Linked DNA regions of Notamacropus eugenii. The protein of the gene in region 1 purifies or fractionates together with the protein of each later gene. This does not show direct contact. Links are inferred from orthologs where the notes say so. Each region holds a gene or a part of one and is shown in the gene's direction. Other genes may lie near its edges.

Evidence for each region.
Region 2: the proteins of BMP2K (region 1) and REPS1 purify together in Homo sapiens (affinity purification with mass spectrometry; 3 studies listed by BioGRID and IntAct, counting the BioPlex papers as one, with this or other methods). This does not show direct contact. The link is inferred for Notamacropus eugenii from reciprocal best matches to the Homo sapiens genes BMP2K and REPS1.

What each region holds. Positions count from the first base shown.
Region 1 is NC_092878.1:147,829,672-147,840,353, reverse strand, and holds the start of BMP2K (BMP-2-inducible protein kinase), read left to right. Parts: upstream 1-6,724; 5' UTR 6,725-7,017; coding exon 7,018-7,198; intron 7,199-7,207; exon of another isoform or gene 7,208-10,682. UniProt on the Homo sapiens protein: May be involved in osteoblast differentiation.
Region 2 is NC_092873.1:225,490,753-225,501,375, reverse strand, and holds the start of REPS1 (ralBP1-associated Eps domain-containing protein 1), read left to right. Parts: upstream 1-6,003; 5' UTR 6,004-6,459; coding exon 6,460-6,612; intron 6,613-10,623. UniProt on the Homo sapiens protein: May coordinate the cellular actions of activated EGF receptors and Ral-GTPases.

The sequences.
Region 1 (10,682 bases):
GAATGCTAACTATATGTACAGGCTATATGTATAGGTGTGTATTATATTCATGCATACAATCAACTTTATGGCATGGACAATTAAATGCCAATCACACAGAGACATGTAATATACATGTATACTCATGGTTTTAGTATTCGATCATGCTAATGACTCCTGATGGATAATAATGACACTATAAATAATCAGAAACCACAGAAGATTTCACCCATTTGAGGCATAGTTTCATCCTTTATGGCAGAATTCTCTGAGTTCCTATAACCTCAATTCCACAGATCGATTATCAATGGCAGGATTCTCTGCCATCATGAGACACAACACCTATTTGGATATGTAAGTTATAACTTTACTTTGGGCAACAGCTCTCTGGCTGTAATCACCCTCAGAAGAATTTCTTGCCTTCAGTCCCAACAGCTGAAGGGACAGGTGACTGATAAAGAATGTTTTCTTTGCTTATATCATTATTTGACATGCAAAACTAATTTTACAAATGGGCCACATTTCACATATATTGCTTTTCTTTCTTTCTCCTTCTGGATACAAGGCCATCTATTTATTCCTTATGGTGTTGTACTGTCACCTCTGAATGGCCAGAAAGTCTTTGGCTGTAGCTACGTGCACATGGCAAAAATTGGTTTGACTTAAAAAGAAAATCAAACTCATCTGATTAGTGGAATCTCCTCTCCATAACAAGACCGACTGTTTATCAGGTAATCATTTAGAAGCCAAGAAAATCTAGATGATTGCTTATTGTCACATAGTCACACATAGGAGCAGCTAGTGGTGCAGTGGATATAGAGGACCAGGTTTGGTCAGAAAGACTGGTGTTCCTGAGTTCAAATCTAGACTTAGATATTTGCTGGCTGTGTGACTCTGGACAAGTCTCTTAACCCTGTTTGCCTCAGTTTCCTCATTTGTAAAATGAGCTCATGAAGAAAATGGCAAACCACTATAGTATCTTTGCCAAGATAACCCCAAAAATGTGATGATGAAGAGTCGGACATGACTGAAAAAAGTGAACAAAAACAAAAGTCATAAATAGGAATGTAAAAACAATGTAGCTGCCATCTGAAAATATGTTGGCTATTATTTTGTTTCAAAATAACAGACATTGGACTTGAGGTATATCTTGAGTTCCTTTTAATTTTATCTTTTATAATTATGAACTTTCACAAAAAATCACTTCTGTATACAATGAGCAGAAAGGGAGTATTGTACATAAAACTAAAATCTCTATTACATACAGATTTTTTTAAAGTATATAACAAATTCTAAAATCATTCTGCTTTTCTGTTTCCCTCCGAACTTCTTTTTGCTCTCTTGGAATTTTTAAATGTTTCACTGATGCTCTTTCCTTTCTTGACAGTTTTACTTTTGGTCATCACTATCATCTCATTTATCACATTAGCAAATCTTTATCAGTTCATTTTTTTTTGTTAATTTCTTCTTTGAGCTTCAGAATTTCCATTTCTCTATTGAGTTGGAGTGTTGATTTGATTTTGATTTGTTGCTTTTCTAGTGTTTTTTTTTTTCTGTTGTTGTTGCATGCACAATTCTGGGATCTCTTCTTTCTCTGTTTTATTTGTGTAAGTCTTAATTGATGTAAATTCCCCCCCCCCAGAAAAATATTGACTGTATCGCAAAGATTTTGGGGATTTTGTTTCATTTCTGTCATTTGTTTCAAGTACCTTAAAAAAAAACCCCTCAACATATTGTTGGATCCATCTTTCTAATCCATTTTGCTATCCTCTCCCATTTTATAGATAAGTTCATCCCATTTACATTCATGGTTATCACTGATAACTGTGAATTCTTTTACATTTTTCCCTCTCTTTGGTCCTAGCCCCCCCCCCCTTTTTTTTTTTACAAAGTGGATGATGAAAGAGAAGGGATATGATTAACATTAGTGATCTGTAGCTGGAATGAACTTTCATTTGACTGTTCTTCCTTTTTCTTGCCCCCAAATACTGCTTCTTTTCCATCCCCTCTTTGATGTTTGAAGTTTGTTTTGCTTGAGACTATTTTTTCCTCTTTTCTTAAAACCTTCTCTCCCATATCCTGATCCCGTCTCTTTCCTTGTTTGGTTTAATATATTGCTATATTAAACTCTGTATACATGTGTGTATTTCTGTAATTCACCTTTGTACAGTTCAAGATAAAAATGAATTTCATGAAATGCCAATTCCTTAACTCCTTTACTTTGTAAACCCTTTTCATGTATCCCATTTATGAGATAAATATATTTCACTTCCTTTTTCCTCTTTTTTTCCTCATAGTATTCCTTTATCCTTTTTCTTTCCTCTTTTAATCAAGAAGCATTTATTAAAGTCAGACTATGTGCCAGGCACTTTGCTAAGCTCAGGTGATAGAAATACAAAGAATGAAATAATCCCTACTTTCTTTTTTTAACGTTAAAAATTTAAGCATTTAATATTCTTCAGTATCGTGGCAAGTTTTGTTTCTTACATACCATACTCTTCCCTAGTAATCTTCCTCTCCCCAAGACAATCATTCCATATAACAAATAGTATTTTAAAAACTAAAATAAAGAAAATTAAAAAGAGGGAAAAAAATCAGTATAACTGATTGTAACATATACAATATGCAAAACCTGTGGACCTCCCACCTCCAGGAAGGAGCGCATTAGGCATGTTCTCTCATATCTCTAAAAACCCATACTTTTGAGGAGGAACAAAGCCACATCATTCCCTTTGTCTTATTTAATTCCTTCTGTGGCCTTGAAGATGCCATTTGTCTCTTCTCCTCTATTAAAATGTAAGTACTTCATCAATTAATTGTCTAATTGCTCAAATGGATTTGCACTCTAGATTTCTTCTGTTGTGTTGGCATTTCATAGTTTCTTTTCAGCTTAAATGATTTCTTTCTTCCTACTTGCATTATTTTTACTTTGACCAAAAAGTTTGTATTTTGGCTATGGCTTTCCTGGGGATTTTTATTTTGGGTTTTCTTTTAGCAGGTGATCTGTGTATTCTTTCTATTTTCATTTGCTGATCTCCCCTTCCCCCCGAAATCTGAGCAGTCTTTATGCCTTCTTAAAATGGGCCTTCCAGTGCCCATTCCCCTCCTTCCCTCATTTTTTGGGCATAGTTTTCGGATAGTCTGGTGATTCTAAATCTGTCTTCAACTCATTGTCCAGGTCAGTTGTTTTGCAGAGTATATATCTTACATTTTCTTCTCTTAAAAAAAAAACAAACCAAAACCCCACAAACATTTTCATTTTATTTCAATTATTTTTGTTGTCTCACTAAGGTCTATGTGATCCCTACTGATTTTCAAAGATTCTACCATCTGGGTAAGGTTTACCACCTAAGCTATTTATTTATTTTTTTCTCCAGAGGTTTTATTTCATTTTTTCCTTCTTGTTTCATTTCCTCTAGGTACTCTTGTACTGACCAAGCCATTTCCCTCTAGTCTGCTTATGCTTGTATTGGAAATACGCTCTTGTTCCGAGTTTTCCTATTGGGTATCTCGATCCATAGGTTCTTTATATTATGGGTTGTGCTGTATTTATTCCTATCTCCAGTCTCAGTTCCTGATTGAGACTGAACCTGGATCAGGTTCCTTTCCCTCCAGAACTTTTAGATACAAGGATGACATCCTAACCTTGATTTTCAGGTGTCCAGTCGCTGGCTTTTATCTTCCCTTCATGTTTGGGTTCTAAGCGTTTGCAACCTTCAGAATTCCTGGTCAGTGCCTGGTCTGGCTGGTCTGTTCACCTGAGCCCATGCTGGTTTTCCTGGAGGTCCCTCTCTTCCAGTGCTGTGGCTTTTTACTGCCTTTTTGTGTAGTCCCAGGTTGCATGAAGCTCATTAATGTTTCTCGTTGGATTTCTTGGTCCTTTTCAAAAACCTCTGGTTCCCCTTTTTGATCATCATTAAATTATGTAATGGAGAGCTAGGCTCCCTGGAGTGTCCTTTCACGTCACAATATTAACTAGAATTTATATAGACTGTTTTCTCATAGTCATCAAGACAATATTCTTCCATAAACTAGATTTTTTACCTTACTAGTGAATACTTAATCTCACTTCTGTTTCTCAATTTTCTGACCTATAAATTAGGTGATGGGCAAATACCTACCTCTACCCAGCTTTCCAGGATGTGCAGATAATAAAATGTGATAATAAATGTCAAAGTTCTTTGGTAGTAAAACCAGCCAACCATATAAATGTATGATCTTATAGTAATGAGATGGTTGAAACTGATTGTTACAGCAATGCTGTAGTAGTTCAACAATCAGTATGATAAGAGCTTATAAAAATTATTACTTAACTATGGGAAAACTGAAGAGTTTTTTACTTGGTACTACTTATGGTTTAAGGCTTTAATTCATCATCAAGTGGTGATCTGACCATGTGATTCCCCTACTAAATAAACTTCAGGAGTTATTTACACCCTCCAGAATGAAATAGAAACTTATCTATAAACTTTTAAAATATCAAATATTTTAAAATATAAACTTTTTGGCTTTTAAAGCTCTTCACAACCTGTAACTAATGTTATTCTTTTTCCCATACTGTATGATCTATTTTAGTTCAAACTGCCTTTCTCTATGTTCCCCACACATGGTACTCCATTTCTGAGTCTGTACTTTTGTGCTGGTTGCTCCCCACACCCTGGGAAGCTACCTCCTCATTTCTACCATAGGATCTGTCACTTCTTTCTATCACAACAAAGCATCACCTTCCACATGAATCTCCCCAAGAGCCTAAGAAATACCCCTCTTTACCTGACCAACTTGTATTTATTCAGCATGGGGTATTTCCTTCTATACGTGTATGTCTTCCTGGATGGAAAGCAAACTTCTTAGCAGAGTGATCATTCCCATTTTTGTATTTGTATTTCCCATCAGCCCAGAAGTTTGACACTTAACTTGCATTAAATAAATGCTTGTTGATTGGTGGATTGGTTGAGTGTGCTGCTATGCCACTGGATTTGGAATCAGAACACCTGTGTACAGAATCTGCACTCTTTTATTTGTTGTCTATGTGACCTCGGGCTCTCTCTCTCTCTCTCTCTCTCTCTCTCTCTCTCTCTCTCTCTCTCTCTCTCTCTCATTTTTCTTCCTCTGTAAAATAACGGGGTTGCTGACTTCTGGCATTTCTTCAAGTTCTGGATCTATGCTCCTAAACTCGTATCATCAGATTATTTTGTCAAATCAAAAAATGAAATAAAACAACAGTTTTGGAAAATTGATGGTAGAAGATAACATGAATTAATATGTCGTGATCAGATATATCCCAAAAATACTTAGAATAAGAGGTACTGAAGTAGTGGTTCTAAACACCTTCACACCCTCTAAACCACTCCTTGAAATGAATGCTCTTTTCTCTTACCTACTAAAATCTCACCCATCCTTCCAAGTCTTATTCAAATCTCATTTCTGAGAAATCCCTGTTGATGTCTCCCTCCTCCCAACTCTTATAAAATTTTTCTCTACTTAATGGAACTTACCACATATAAATTTATAGCTTGATAGGACTTCAGAGATGATTTAGTCCAATTCCTTTAGCTGCAGTAGCAGCAGCTAGAGTTCTAATCTGATCTGTCCTTTACAGACTGTCAGATTGTGATCAATACCATTGAAGCTGTCTGGACTTGTTTCCTTTTTTGTAAATGGAAGATAAGGTTGCCTGTAATTCCTACCTAGACACCTGAAAGTAAGATTGTGAGGATCAAATAAGCTAAAGCATTTTGTAAGACCTTCAAGGGCTATAAAAATACGAACTATCCACAAGCACCTGCTATGGGTCAGTCACTGCTCGAAGTCGGAAACACAAAGAATGAAAGCTAGCAGCTTAATACATAATTCACGATTATTTCCAGATGAGAAAACTGCTGGACAGAGAGGCAGAGACTTGCCTCAGGTTATACAGCAGGGAATTCTCTTATTCCCAACCATCAGGTAAGCTCTTCAAAGCAAACTGCCACAAAGGACAGCAGCCTCAGATCCAGGAAGACCTAAGGTTCAGCCTCCGACACGCGAAATACAGGATTTTAATACGGAGGTTTAGATTTACTTCTGAAGCATCTCTCACAGTAAAATTCCCTAGTCTAGTAAACAGGGCGTTTTCTTCAGCGTGGACCCCCTTTCCATTTGGGGGGTTTTCTTGGCGGAGATACGGGAAGGGTTTGGCGTTTTCTTCCCCAGCTCGTTTCACAGATGGAGAAACTGAGGCACAGAGGGTGAGGTGACCTGGCCAGGGTCACTCGGCTCCCCGGTGGCGGAGGCCGGATCCGATCTCGGGAGTGCAGGCCCCACCTGGCTGCCCCCGGGCATCGGAGGGCGGATGGGTGACCCCTGAGGAAGGCACGGGCGGAGGCAGAGACGAGGAGAGGTCCTCAGTCAGTCAAGCGGCATTTCTGGGGCACCTACTAGGTGGCCGGCACCTCGCCACGGGCAGAGAGCGGCCCCGCCCCCCCACCAGCCCAAGCTCGGAGCCGAGCTGCGGGGGCCCTCGGGCCTCAGTTTCCTCAGCTGTAGGATGACGGGGGCGGGGCCCTTCGCAGCCGCCGGCTCAAACCTCGGGTCCTCCGCGGAGCCCGAGACGCCCCGGGCCACCTTCCCTCCTCTCTGCCGCCTGCGCCCCGCCCCCGCCGCGCCACGTGACGCGGAGGCGGGGCGTCACTTCCGGCGGAGGGGCGCTCGCGGCTGCGCGTGCGCGGAGCTCCGCTCGGAGCAGTTAGTCCCGGCGCAGCGGCCGCCGACGGCACATCCCCGGCGGGCGGCCAGGCAGGCGGGCGGGCGCGCAGCCCGGGCCCGCCGACACCCCCGGCTGCAGCGCCTCAGCCCCGCGGCTCTCGCCCGGCTCCCTCCTTCCCCACCTCCCCGCTGTCCTCGGAGCTTAGGCCCCCCCGGAGCCCGCTCGCCGCGCGGGGCAGCGGGGGGCCCTCGAGCCGCGGGCCTCGGTGTCCCCGCGCGCTCGCGCGGGATGTGAGGCGGCCGGTGCCCGAGGACTGCGCCTCCCGGGGCCGCGGGGGCCTCTCCCGCGACACCATGAAGAAGTTCTCCAGGATGCCCAAGTCGGAGGGCAGCGGCGGCGGGGCGGGCGGAGGGGGCGGCCCAGGCTGCTCGGGCGGCGGCGGGGCCGGAGCCGGCTCCGGAGCCTCCTCCGTGGGAGTCCGCGTGTTTGCCGTGGGCCGCTACCAGGTCACCCTGGAGGAGCAGCTAGCCGAAGGTACCCGGGGCGCGAGGGCCAGGGCGGGCCGGGGCGCGGCGTCGGGGCGCTCCCTGCGACCGGGCTGGGTGCTGCCGCTCAAGTCTTACCGCACGCATTAAGAGCCTACTGTGTGCCTTGCCCCGGGTTAAGACGGTCCCTTGCCCTCCCGGAGCTCACGGTCAGCCTTAGGACGCGGGCTTCCTTCCCACCCGCCCAGCCCAGGCACCCAGCCCGGGGAGTACCTAGAGAGGTCAAAGCACCGGGTAACGGGGCGAGAAACATGCAGACGACTATGTGCCTGCACCTTATATACGGGATGAGGGTGAAAGAAGGTCGGAAGAGGGAAAGGGGCAGGGCAGGTGGGCTTTGAACCCAGGTCCTCCGACTCCGCCACCCCCCAGGCAGCCCCTAGCCACGCTGATTGCAACCAAACCGTGCAAAGGCGTGCTCTAGCAGCTAGTCTGCGTCCCGGGGTCGCGCTGGAACTTGGTCCAGTCCATCTCCTGCAGAAATGGAGGAGGGATGTCATCCGCTGACCCCAGACATTCAGCGATAGCGCCAAAGAACCTCTTGGCACAAAAGTTTTCTTCCCCCTGAAAAATTGCACGAAGCACGTGCCTTGAGTGCGGTTTTCAAGTGAGTCTTTCGTGGGACGCACCATTATGGTCACGCTTGTAAAGCTGGCTTCTTAGTAGCTCTTAAAGGATGTTATGGAAAAGCGGGTTAGAGTTTTCCTTAACTGAATAAGCGTTTTGCCCAGTATTCTCATTATTGTAAATGACTGTGAAAGCGATGTGCAGAGTAGATTTTAAAGATCAGTTTAGACTTTCCACACGTTGGCCACGACACCCATTTCATTCATTCAAGAGATTGTAGATCCCCGGCTTTACGGTTTTGTAATTGACTAGACCTCTGTAACTACCGAAAACTTTCTGTTGTGTTGCTAATTCCTGTTTTCCCCGGCCCCTGCAGGTTGGTTTGTTGTTTGGTATTGTGCTAAATGTTGTTTTAAATCAATGGAGTATTCAAATTCGAGCTGCTAGGTGGCGTAGTGGATTGAGAGCCTTGCCTGGAGCCCTTTAGACTGAACTTCAGTTGTTCAAATCTGGCCTTAGGCACTTCCTAGCCCTCTGACCTGGAGAAAGTCACTTAACCCTGTTTGCTTCAGTTTCCTCCTCGGTAAAATGAGCTGGAGAAGGAAATGGCTAACTACTCCGATGCCTTTGTCAAGGAAACCCAAAAATGGGGTCATGAAGAATCAGACAGGACTGAACAACAGTATTAAAATTGAGAGTTTGAGATTCTGAAGAACTAAATATATTTATTTGTGATAGCAAATACTTCTTTTAGAACCAAAATGAAAAACAATTATTGAGCAGAGTAGGTATGATGTATTTCATTTCCATAAATGTTTTAGAAAAGTATGTATTTTGAAAATAATAATTCTAAGATGCATCATTTCTTAGTATGTTTTCAAATACCTTGAACAATGAGCAGATTAATAGTGTAGGAGAAACTTCACGAATTTGAATATTTAAAATCAAAGTGAGATAAAAGTGGAATGGTTTTGTGAATGATTAAAATTATAAGTTGTCTAGTTGAATAGAGAGATAACAACTAAAAGAAATATATTTGGTGGAGGAGCAGGAGGTCTTGGCCTCAAAACCAAAAAAATTCCAGTTTCCCGCTTTTCCCCAAAAAGTTTTTGATGAGCTAGCCAAATTCATTCTTTTTTAAGTTTACCAAACTCTGTTTAATTTTAGGTATTGCTATGAACATCTTTTTTCTTTAAAGTGCTGCCTTAAATAATTGAAGTTATGTCTAGCTGAGATGTTTTCTCAGATTGTTAAAGTTCTAATGTTAAATTAGTCTGAAAGTTTGTAGATTTTAGTAGTCATGAGTCATTTCAGGGGCCTTTTTTCTATTTAGTTTCAGAGAGTAAATTAAAATGTAAACGTAGAATTAGAATAGTACAACCATTAAGGAATATTTTTCAGCCACAATAAATTTTGCTGGTAGAGTGCCATATGTAATCTTTTATAATACAATAACATTTTTGTCAGGATATTCATAACTAGGAGTAGAAATTATATAGAAAGCATGAAGAAACCTTCCAGGGCCTCAAAAGGATGGGTATTGTGGAAAGAAATCACTGAATGCCAAGAAAGTGACACAAATTATGCTCCCCAGCCAAAAAAAAAAAATCACTCATAAGATATGTATCTGGTAGTCTTGGGGTAGAAATTGGATTCTGGTTGGAGGGGAAGCCAGTGTCAGGCAGAAAGGTTGAAGACTGCAGGGTCTGTGGGGGAAGGGCACCTGCTGGCCTCTACTCTGGTCAGTACCTGAGGCTCCTGGAATTAGATCTTAAAGACTCTTCTCCAAAGATGTCTTCCTAGGAGAGACCCCTTTGGCCATTCCCTTTCCTAGTTTCCTTCATTTCTCAAAGGGTGACAAAAATGATTAAGTCACTTTAACCTTTAGGATTAGCCCTAATAGACCTTTCTAGACTTTAGAGCTGAAAGAGCCTTTCAAGGCTCTGTAGTCTGGGAATTAACTTTTTATATGCCATGAATCCCTTTGTCAACCTGCAAACCTTTAGCATAAAGCTTTTAATTGTACAAAATACATAGGATTATAAAAGAAACGGATTATTTTGAAGTATGGTTATCAAATTATTTAAGAAATAAGTTCATGGGTCCCAGGTTAAGAACCTCTCATTTGGTACAGTGCCTTCATTTTACACATGAAGAAATGAGAGACCATGGGAGGTCAAATGAATTGCCCAAAATTGCACAAGTAAGTTAAGTAGCAGGGCTGGGATCAGAGAATACCTCAAAGAGTCCTCTGATAGCATATGCCAAGTACATTGTGGCTAAACTGACATGTGGAATAGTAGAATCTCAAGAGTGGAAATGACTCTTAGAGAGATCCTGACCAGCTCTTAACTGAACCAGAATGTCACCTACAACATTCTGGACGAAATGATCTTTCAGCCGCTTCTGGAAGGTGAAAAATTCACTAGATCCCTGAACAGGCCATTCCACTTTTTGGGCAGCTCTAAGTTGTTAAATTTTTCCTTGCCTGAGTCCCATTTCAACTTCTTTTCTCTCCCAGTGACGAGCTGCACAGGGATCTTTACCGAGTAGTCGTTTAAATTTCTGTTGAAGGAAGCAAAACCAAGTCTAATCTCTCTTCTACATAGTCACCCCTTTAGGGACTTTAAGACAACAGTTATGTCCCTCTGAAGTATTTTCTTATCTAGGCTAAACTTCCTCAGTTCCTTCCATCACCTGTGCTGTGGGAAGGTTTCCAGTCTCTTTGTTATGCAGTTCATCGTCCTTTGAACTAGTTGTGCTCGTTTCTTAAAATGTGGTGCCTCGAACCAAGCAGTCCTCTGAATCTCTGAATGTGGTTCAGTTAGGACAGATTACATCAGGCTATATAGCCTAACTCATTGTGAACTCATTGCTGTTAATTTGATGTAAGATTGCATTAGCAT
Region 2 (10,623 bases), on another chromosome or scaffold:
GGCTGTATTTAAGCAGTTGTATTATAGGGTGGTTAGCAAGGACAGAACTGGAAATAAAAGTCATTATTATGGAAGTAGATAGACACAGATCTTCCCATCATCTGATACCATCATCTGTCACTTGCTCTATGTCATTAAGGGGGTTACATCTAGAGATAGCAACTGAGGAAATGGCAATTGTTGAGGTCCTTTTTCACCATGGGACCATCTTTCCTGCTGTTACCATCACTGTTGAGCTTTCCCATACTTGATACTTCGCCTTCCCTAGCCTCATGGCTAACACATTTCTACCTCTTGCTTCCTCAACCTCTATAATCCAGACTCTCTGTCTGCCAAAGTGAAAACCTCTCTCCCGTCATCTCCACAAGCTCAGCCCTATGATTTCCTTTGCTCTCTCCTATCATACCCTCTGGAATCCCTATTCCATTATTTACAAATTCCTCTTTATCCCCAATATGGTTCTTTTACACTTCTTTGGTGTGCCTGGAAACCTGGATTTCTCTTTAAGATGCTCTATCTCACAGTTACTCTTTGTACAATCCTACTGTTACTATAAATAGTTTTCTTTCTGTTCATTTCACTCATTATTTCATGCAAGTCTTTCCACGTTTTTCTAAAATCAGCTTGCTTATCATTTCTTACATTATAGCAGTATTTCATCACAATCACATACCATAATTTATTTAGCCATCCCCCAACTGATGGGCATCCCCTCAATTTCCAGTTCTTTGCTATCACAAAGATAGCTGCTATAAATATTTTATAGAACATATAGGTTCTTTTCCTTTTTCCATGCTCATCTTGGGAAACAGACCTAATAGTGGTATTGCTGAGTCAAAAGGTATACATAGTTTTATAACTCCTTAGGCATAATGGTTGAATCATATCAAAGTTCCATCAACAGTGTATTAGTGTCCCAATTTTTCCATATATTTCCAACATTTGTCATTTTCTCCTTCTGTTATTTTAGCTGATTTGATAGTTATGAGATGGTATCTCAGTTATTTTGATTTACATTTCTCTAAGCAATAATGATTTAGAGCAATTTTCATATGACTATATATAGTTTTGCTTTCCTCGTCCCCAAAGTGTCTGTTCATATCTTTTGACCACTTATCAATTAGGCAATGACTCATATTCCTATAAATTTGACTAAGTTCTTTGTATATTTGAGATATGAGACCTTTTTCTGAGGAACTGTCTATAAAAATTTCCCCTAATTTTCTGCTTTCTAATCTTGGCTGCACTAGTTTTGTTTGTGCAAAACCTTTTTAATTTAATGTAATCAAAACCATCCAATTAACATCTCAAAATGCTCTCTCGTTTATTCATAAGTTCTTCTATCCATAAATCTGATAGGTAATATGTTCCATGTTCTTCTAATTTACTTATGATATGTAAGAGTAGCTAACTTTTGCAGAGCTGCTAAAAACTTTACCTAGCTTGTCTTATTCCTCACAACCCTTTGAGGTAGGTGCTTACTAATAAGTCAGTAACATGGCAATAATGTCTCCTATTAATTCATTAACTAATTAATTAACCTCCATGAAGTCAAGGACTACGGTTTATTTAAACACTGCATTTCCCTCAGCACCTAGCAAAGTGCTTTGTGTGAAGTAGGTGCTTATCCCCAGCTACTAGTGCCTTCTCTCCCAAAATTACCTTGTATATATTCTGTGTATACTTATATATGCATGTGTTGTCTCCCCTATGAGAATGTACACTCTTTGTATGTAGGGACTAGATCATTTTTGCTGTGTCCTCAGTGCTCAGCACAGTGCCTGGCAAACAGGAGGTGCTTAATAAATACTTTGTAACTAGTTACTTGAAAAATAAACAGTTGTGAAGTTGATCTGAATTAAATCAATAGGAGAGTGCAAAGGTTGCTGACACCTATCTGGTCAGTCAGATTAGAGAGCAAAGAGATTTTTTGATAGACTATTCCTCCCTCTACAAATTTTGGTGTGGTCAAGCCTTTAGACTTGGAAAAGTTCCAACTCATATGTTACTTAAAATATTAATATGTAAAGTGTAGATGGCACAATGGACTGAGTCCTGGCCTGGGAGTTAGGAAGACATGAGTTTAAATCCCGCCTCACGGTTACTAGTTGAAGGCTCTGGGTCACTTTAACCTCTCAGTCTCAGTTTCCACTCACTTGTGGCTCTAAGAAGCTATAGCACATGCAGTAGCCACATCTGTCTGGTCAGACAGGCTAAGTAAGTCAGAAACTCTTCAGTGAGTTGGGGGATATCTACTTCAAGCATATGAAGTTTTCTTTTGGTGGAATGGGTAGATGACAACAATTTGTTCTAAGAATCATGAAGGAAGCTGAAGCAGGCACTGTGGAGCACACAGAGGTTGGTCAGACATCAAAGATACCAAGATGATCCACTACATCCCAGGCCATCATCAGTCTTCTTGACTTTTGTCTTGCCACTGTTATTTCAATAACTCTAGAAGACAGAGTAATGCTGACCATTTTGTGCAACTCTGACTCACTTAAATCCAATTTATGTACCCCATGATGTCACTGGTCCTCTCTGAAAACAAAGTATGAACAACAACATTCATCTGTAAAATGGGGATAATAATAACACTTAAATTACACAGTTCCTGTGATGATTAATTTAAAACATTATCTAAATGTTGGCTATTTTAAATGAGATGTAAAGAAGATGATATGGTATCCTGGACTGAGCAATGGACTAGTGGTTTGACTGTGGACAAATAAGAATTCTGTTCAGCCTTATTTTCTCACCAGAAATAAATGATAATAATAATCCTTACCAGTCTTACAGGGTCAGTGAGGGAAAAGTGTTTTACAAATTACAGACTGCTATATAAACAGAAATGTAAGATTAAATAGCACGTACCTTAAATTCTGCAGGTTTCCAGAAAAAGAGATTGTTTTCAGATTAAGACACAGGACAGAAGAAATGGCACACTTTGTGTTAGATAATCTAAAATATTTATACGTACCAAATTAGTTTCACCTTTCCTCTACTCAGCAAACTATTGCTTCTCAGATAAACAGTTACTGTTGATGTTGAAATCTTCAAATATTTGTGAGGCTCCAGGAACAAGCTTTGGGAGGAGGAATTTGAGTTTATCTTCAGTGATATCTGACATCAAAGGGATGGCAGTAATGAACACATCAGAGGGTTGAGAGAGGAGTATCAAGTGTAAGCCTACACTTGAAATTGGGATGTGAATTCAATATGGAATCATACAAGAGACACCACAAAACAGTAATTATCTTGGGAATATTTATTAATTCTTGAATTCTTAAATACTTGGGAATAATATGTATATATAGCATAAGATCATAATGAATAAAAATATTTCATCCTTCCAGCCTAACCTGCAATAGGGCAAATGTTATTATGGAATCTAAATATGGGAATGGGGGTCAATTTATGCTAAAAAAAAATCAGCTATTTGCCTGGCAAGGTATGCAGAAACTTTCCCTCCAGATGGGATAGAGAGATTTGATGTAGCCTCCAGTCAACTCATGGTCCCTCTGATGGCAGGTTACTCTGTTGTATGCTTTAGGGTCACAGATTTAGAATTGGAAAGGAATTCAAATTTCATCTCATCTAATCTCCTTATTTTTGAGATAAGAATGCTGAAACACAGAGCAATTGTGACACAGAATAACCGAACTAGGATTTGAACCCAGGTCTTTTGATTTCAAATCCAACTTCTTTCCATTTCACTAGACTCCTAAGCCTCGACAATGAACTTAAATGTTAGGGAAGACCTAACTCTATTGATGAGTAGGATCATGAGATTATAGACAGATCTAGCCCTGAAAGAGACCTTTGAGACCATCTATTTAGTCCCACCTCCTTCATTTTACAGTAGCCCATGCTGTCTATCCCAACTCACATTTACACTGAGGAGTCAGATCCCTTAAGTGGTTATCATGATGCCTTCAGGGATCTATGTGTTACCTGAAGGTGTTGGGGGAGGGAATGTCTTTTTAGCACTCTCAGCTCAATCCCCCATTCTGGTGTTCATACTTCCCAGCATGATTATCAATGAGTATCATTTAGTCAATAATCATCAATTAGCTTTCAGAAAGGGTAATTTACTTAGTTCAGTTAATCATAGTTGGTAGAAAGTCATTCAATGACATACTCTCCCAGCAGTACATACAGAGTTCAAGGGAAAATGGACTCAGATGCAGAAAGTACACGTGGCAAAGAGGTAACTCATAACTCCTAGTTACTTGAAGAACTTTTCTTCCATTCCAGGGTACTTAAGAAGTTCTCCTTAAGCATCCTGTCACTTCTTTGCCAAGCTCCTGGTAGAACAGTAAAAATGCCCTCCCTAAATTACACCTTGTTACTAATATCCCACAAGATAGTGTTCAGATATGAATGAGAAGTACAAAATAGTATGGATCCTGGGAAGCTTGCAAGGTCCTCCCTTGGCCAAAATGGGGATCTAGATGGAGGTGAAAGCTGAGGCTTCTCCTTCCTTCCTCTCCCCAGGTCCCTTCTCAAGGGTTTTACTGGAATGTCACACTTGTTCTAATCTTCTCATCTGAACTAGCTTGATAACTTCATAGAGAACTCCTAGGGTGCGATCAGGTTACTTTAACCAATCCAAATAGGATTTCTGGGTACTGTCATTCCAGTTCCAAAGCTATCACATTTAGTCTAAAACCAATTACTAAAATTGAAAGATAGAGAATTGCTTCATCTCTTTAAGATATCGGGATATTGTAACACAGTTTGAGTAGGGTTGAGTGACAATAAACCACCCAGGCCCCACAGACAAATGAGGAAACTGAGGTCCAGAGAAGTGACCTGACTTGTCCCAAGTTGGAGGTCTGGAATGATGGAAATGGGATCCCTGGGTGTTCAGTTCTCCTCATGGTGCAAAAGGAAAGGATAAGAAGAAAAGAACTTACCTACTTCCCAGGGAGATTGGGAGAGTAAAAAGGCACCTGTGTAGCCGTTAATGTGGATGTTTTGAAAAACTAAAAGTGTTACACCAATCGATATCGATATCAAGCTTAGTTATTAAAAAAAAATAAATCATAGTTATTGTAGAACTAGTAATAAAGAGTCACCCCTTGGGCAATGTAACAACAATAATGATTAATAATAATAATAATAATGATACCGATGCCCTCACCCCTGCCATCAGTTTAATTCATTACACATTAGCCATTTTACTATTTATCTGCGCTGAGTACTTTGGGGATAAAATGAGGCAAAAGAGAATCCCTGCTTTCGGAACTTACCTCGGAATGGGGAAAACCACGTGCAAACAAACATACACAAAGCATGCTGCAGGAAATAACGAACAGGGAAGGCCCTGGAATTAAGAGAAGTGAAGGAAGCCTTCCTGTAGGCGGTGGGACTTTAGCTGGGACTTCAAGGAAACCAAGGGGGTCAGTGGTGGGCGCGGAGGAGGGAGAGCGTTCCAGGCCTGGGGGACCCCCGACAGGGGAAAAAAATGTTTTTGGACATTTCCTAGGGCTGGGCTGCGCCTAGGGGGCGGGACGCCGCCGGGCTGGGCTTCTCTCGCCTCGGGGGCGCCCACCAGCAGAGGGCGCTGTTTCCGCCTTCCTCTCTCGGGAGAGGCACGCGCCTCTGCTGGGGGTTTCTCTCTTTCTCTCCTCTGTCTCTCTCTCTCTCTCCCTCTCCCTCTCCCCCCCGCCCCCACCCCCTCGCGCTCGCTCGCCTTCGGCCTCACATCCGGGTCTGGCGCTGCCGCCGCCGCTGCGGCCGCTGTCAGTGTTAGTGCGGGCACGTCCGTGGTGGGGCCGGAGCGCAGTAAATGGCGGCGGAGGGAGGCGGAGCGGCAGCCGCGCTCAGCCAGGCGCCCCTGAAACTTTAGCTTAAAAGCCCCACAACTTTCCCCGGGGCGCAGCCGCTCTTCGCGGGGGTTGACCCCGAAAGGGTGGGCGGAAGAGGAAGCTAGGCGGGAAGTCGAGTGGGGAGCAGGGGGGAGGGTGGTAGAGGGGGCGGCTCGAACCCGCGGCGAAGGCGTAGGCTAGGAGAGGTCTCCTTCGCCTGGCGGCGCCGCGGTGGGTGCCGGAGCCCGAGCCCGAGCCTGGGCCTTGCGCCTCCGGGCCGGCTCCGGATCGGGGCGAGCGGGAGCCTCTCCTTCGGAAGGTGCGGGCGCCGGCGGCGGCACGCGGAGCCTCCTGCGCTTCTCCAGCTCTTCTCCAGCCCTGTTGCTTGTGTCCCGGCCGCCGGCGGCGGGGAGAGGGGAGGGGAAGACCGGGGCTCGGGCCGGAGCGGACCCGCTGTGCGTGCGTGCCTGCGAGCCGGGCTAGGGCGGCGGGCTAGGGGCGCTGCCTGGCGCACGGCCCACGCTCCGTCTCCCCGCGACCGAGTTCGAGGGGCTCGGAGGCAAGCCGGGCCCGAGGCCCCGCCGCCCAGGGGTCGCGGGGCGGGGCGGCGGCGAGGAGCGAGGGAGGGGGTGGGGCGGGGAAGAAGATGGAGGGATTAACGCTGAGCGATGCGGAGCAGAAATACTACTCCGACCTCTTCTCCTACTGCGACATCGAGAGCACCAAGAAGGTCGCGTCCAACGGGAGGGTGGTGGAGCTGTTCCGGGCCGCGCAACTCCCCAACGAGGTGGTCTTACAGGTAAGTGCGCCCTCTCCCTTCCCCCAAGCGATCCTCCTGGCTTGGCGTCGGCCAGGCCCGGGTGGGTGTCCGGGCAGGCCCCTGCCCTTCTGGAGCGCCGGCTCCGCTACCTGCCTGCCTGCCGCAGGCCGGAGGAAAACGACCCCGCATCGACGGAAGGGCTGGGCATCGGCCGATTGAATGTTTCTAGCTCCCAGCCGGGGAAGGGGGCAGCAGGTGCCTGTGGGTGGTGTCAGACTTTTAAGTGAGCAAAAGAAAGAGGTAAAGGCTAGTTTCATAGGAATAGTTGAGGAGCAGCAGAACAGTCTTATAAAACTTTGAAGTTTTCAAGTTATAGTATCCACTTGGGTATTATCTGTGTACATATTTTGCCCCTATTTAGCTTGCCGCAGACAGGGACGCCTTGATTTTTGGCGTGGACCTACGTGGACCTACGTCCAGCCCAGTGAGTGCCTGGTACCTACTGTGTGCTCAAATACTGGAGTCAAATTGATTTATAACTTTCTGTATACTCTGCTCTGCCCGTGAAAGAATTTCAATAGAAAGACTTGTATAGTTATAATTTTGGATACAAAATGTTGGGTAGCTGGGAGAACAGAGAATTAAAGTTCTCCGAACAGGTAGAAACTTAAAATTCTACTCTTGCCCCGCTCCCATCCCTTTCTTTTCCTAGTAAAAGGCCCTTGGAGAAGTGAAAGAAAACTAAATCAGTTTATATTTTGCATACAAATGTGAAATGAAAAACTTTTAATTATTAGTGGGATTTTGCTCTTGAATGAACCCTATAAAGTAGGGTAACATTTGAACCCCTCGGATTTTAAAATGTTTTTTCTCCTCTCTAGACTGTGGACATTTGACTCATCCTAAAAATAGTTGCAAAATAGACACTGATTTTAAAAGCTGTTCTTTTTATCTCCTAGCCTTTAAGAAAAAGAAGTGTTCTGTTTGTAATGTGTTTTAATGTTTAATATAATATCTATTTAAGAAGCAGCAAGAAAGATCTTGCCTAAACAGGATATCTTTAATAGGTCCTTTCACTTTTAACATAGTGATTTAAGCCTCTTATTTGAATCACCAAGACTTAGATCAATGCATACACTTCCATAGTAAAGGAGCAAATGTACTGGCCTAGGAATGTGAAACTGTGGCTTTCAGTTCCATCACTTCGTCATTTAATCTCTTTGAGTTTTGATTTCTTAAGTTGTAAAATGGGAATTTAAGTACATTAGACATTCCCATCTTCAAAATTCTTTTAATCTATGAAAATATACAGAAACATAGGAAATTGTAGCATCTCTGGAGGTATAACAACTCATATCTTCTGTAAGCTATATCTCTCTGGAATGAGTACTATCTGTTTATCTTGTATATGTTAAATTGCTTCATTTAACCTTGAAGCAAAAAGTTTAGTGTCCTATGTATCAGATTTGGATGACCGCTAGAAATTGCAGGCTTCTCTTAGTAGATGAAGTTGCCTTACTGTTTTGTTAAAAGTATAATACTGAACCGTGATCGTGTCTGAGCAGTTCATTAAAGGTATGCTTCTTTTTATAGAAATTAGCATGTTATTTTAGGGAATTTCTTGTATTATTTTGGAACTAAAACTAGGGTAGGAATTCTTAACATAAAAAAACTTTTTTTTTAAATCATTAAGGCCTTTGGACCCTTTCTTAAAAGAGTGATTTTAATTTTAGATGCATAAAATAAAGTTCATAGAATTGCAAAGGAAATGAATTATATCAAAGTACAGTTAAAAGTACATAAAATTACAAAGGAATCCAATTATATTGAAATAATTATCAAAATCTCGAAAAAAACTCATCCCTCACGTTAAGAATATTCTCGTTTTAGACTATATTGGAAAGGAAAACTGATGATAAATTTCTAGTCTGAGGGGACTCGGGGACAATCTGGGTTCTCAGATTTAGGATATGTTGATAGGTACAATGAATTAATTACTCCTTTTTCTTAAAATTTGTTAGATCTACACATATTATTCTAAAATTTCACTATTATGAAACATATCTAATTCGATTGCCCTACTGTGTGTTAGACTGTGGAAATACAAAAAAAATGAATTCATTGAATATCATCGAATTGAGATTTGAAGGGCGCTAGGGATTCCAAGAGTCAGAGTGGAAATGTTTGTAACATGGAGCGATTCAGCCTGTGCAAAAGTCTGGAGGTGGGAGATGGAATGCTAAGTTATGAAATTGTCCTAGTTTGGCCAGAACATAGAGTGCATGGAGAATAATGTGAAATCCATCCTGATGGCTTGTTTTCAAGCCAGATTTTGAAGGGCCTTAAATGCCAAACTGAGAAGCTTATCTTTTATCCTAGAAATAGTAGAGAATTACTAAGGCCTCTTGTGAACAGCTAGGTGGCACAGGTGACAAAGCAGATAGAATGGACCTAGAATCAAGACTCTCTTCCATAGTTCAAATGTGACCTAATACACTTAATTAGCTTCATTGACCCTGGACTAGTAATGTAACTGTTTGCCTCCCTTGCTTCATTTTCCTCATCCGTAAAATGAGCTGGAGAATGAAATGGCAAACCACTCCAGTACCTTTGCCAAGAAAACTCCAAATGGGGTCATGAAGTCAGACACAACTGAAAAACTAACAATGCTCCTTGAGCAAATGAGTGATGCGGTCAGATCTGTGCCTTAAGAAGATAAATTTGTCAGCTTTGTGAAGGACTATGGACTGGAGAAAGGAGAAACTCATGCAGGTGACCAGTTAGGAGGCTGTTGCATTTGTCCAGGAGAAAAGACTAGGTAGTGGCTGGCTACATGAATGGAGAGACAGTATGGAGAGATGTTTTGCACGGGTTGGATTGACAGTACTTGGTAACTGATTGGAAAAAGAGTGGTGGAAAGAATAGTAAGAAGCCCTCAACCGAAATAGAAAGATAGGAGAAGGCATTGGGGGTGGGGGGGTAAAGTGGAGTTGAACTCAGTTTTAGAAATGTTGTCTTTGAGATACCTTGAGACATCCTAATGGAAGTGTCCAGCAGGTGTTTCAAAACCACTGCTCAGAAAAAAGATGGTCTAGATATGTACATTTTGCAGTTATCTTTCTAAATAGAGTCATAAACCAATGGCAGCTGTTGAAATTACCAAACTAGAGAGTGTAGAAAAAGAAGAGAGGTCAGGATAGAGTTCTGGGGCATGCCCACACATAGGAGATGTGGATGGAATTACCTTAGTAAAGGAGACTAAGAGGAAAGGGTCAGACAGATGGGAAGAAAGTCAGGAGAGATCACAATAATCTGGGGAAGAGAGACTATCCACAAGAACATTGTGGTAGAAAGTATTAAATGCTGGTAGGAACTCTTTGTTTTTGTATCCCTGGTGTCTTGGACTTGCTCAATTGAACTATGGCAGTGTTTAGAAATAGTCGACCTATTTTCTATTGCCCTGAGTGAAGTGTAAAAATAAATAAATAACAAAAGCAGTCAGGGTTGGCAACAGTGTGGAAACTCCCTGAAGCAGTACTTCTGTAATACTAAATAGCAAGCTGAATGACTTGGAGGGAGCTTACTAAAAAGTTGAGATAATTCATAGCACATGGGAGAGCATGATATATAATTTAAATGAACTTTGTTCATTGGAGGAAAGGCAGAGGGAATTTCAGATTTGGAGGAACACTATATTCCAAGTCAAAAGCACATTGGAAAAGCTGCTATCTACCTAAACCTTACTTTCTAGCTTTTCATATTTTTTGTCCAAACTTTCAGTTAATAATATATTAATGTCCATCTTATGGCTTGTTGGCAGTTATTATTGAGCACTGTGGCATGGAGGGGCCTATACCTATATTGTGTAGAGGAGGAGAGAGAATGCTGGGCTAAGATCTAGTTCTAATTCTGCTGTTAAATAGATGTATGATCTTTGGCACTTCACTTAACCTCTCTTTATGCCTCAGTTTCCTCTGGGTAAGTTGAAGAGACAAGACTAGCACAATGAAACTAATATAAGGCAGCAAGTATATACTGAAAATGCAATAA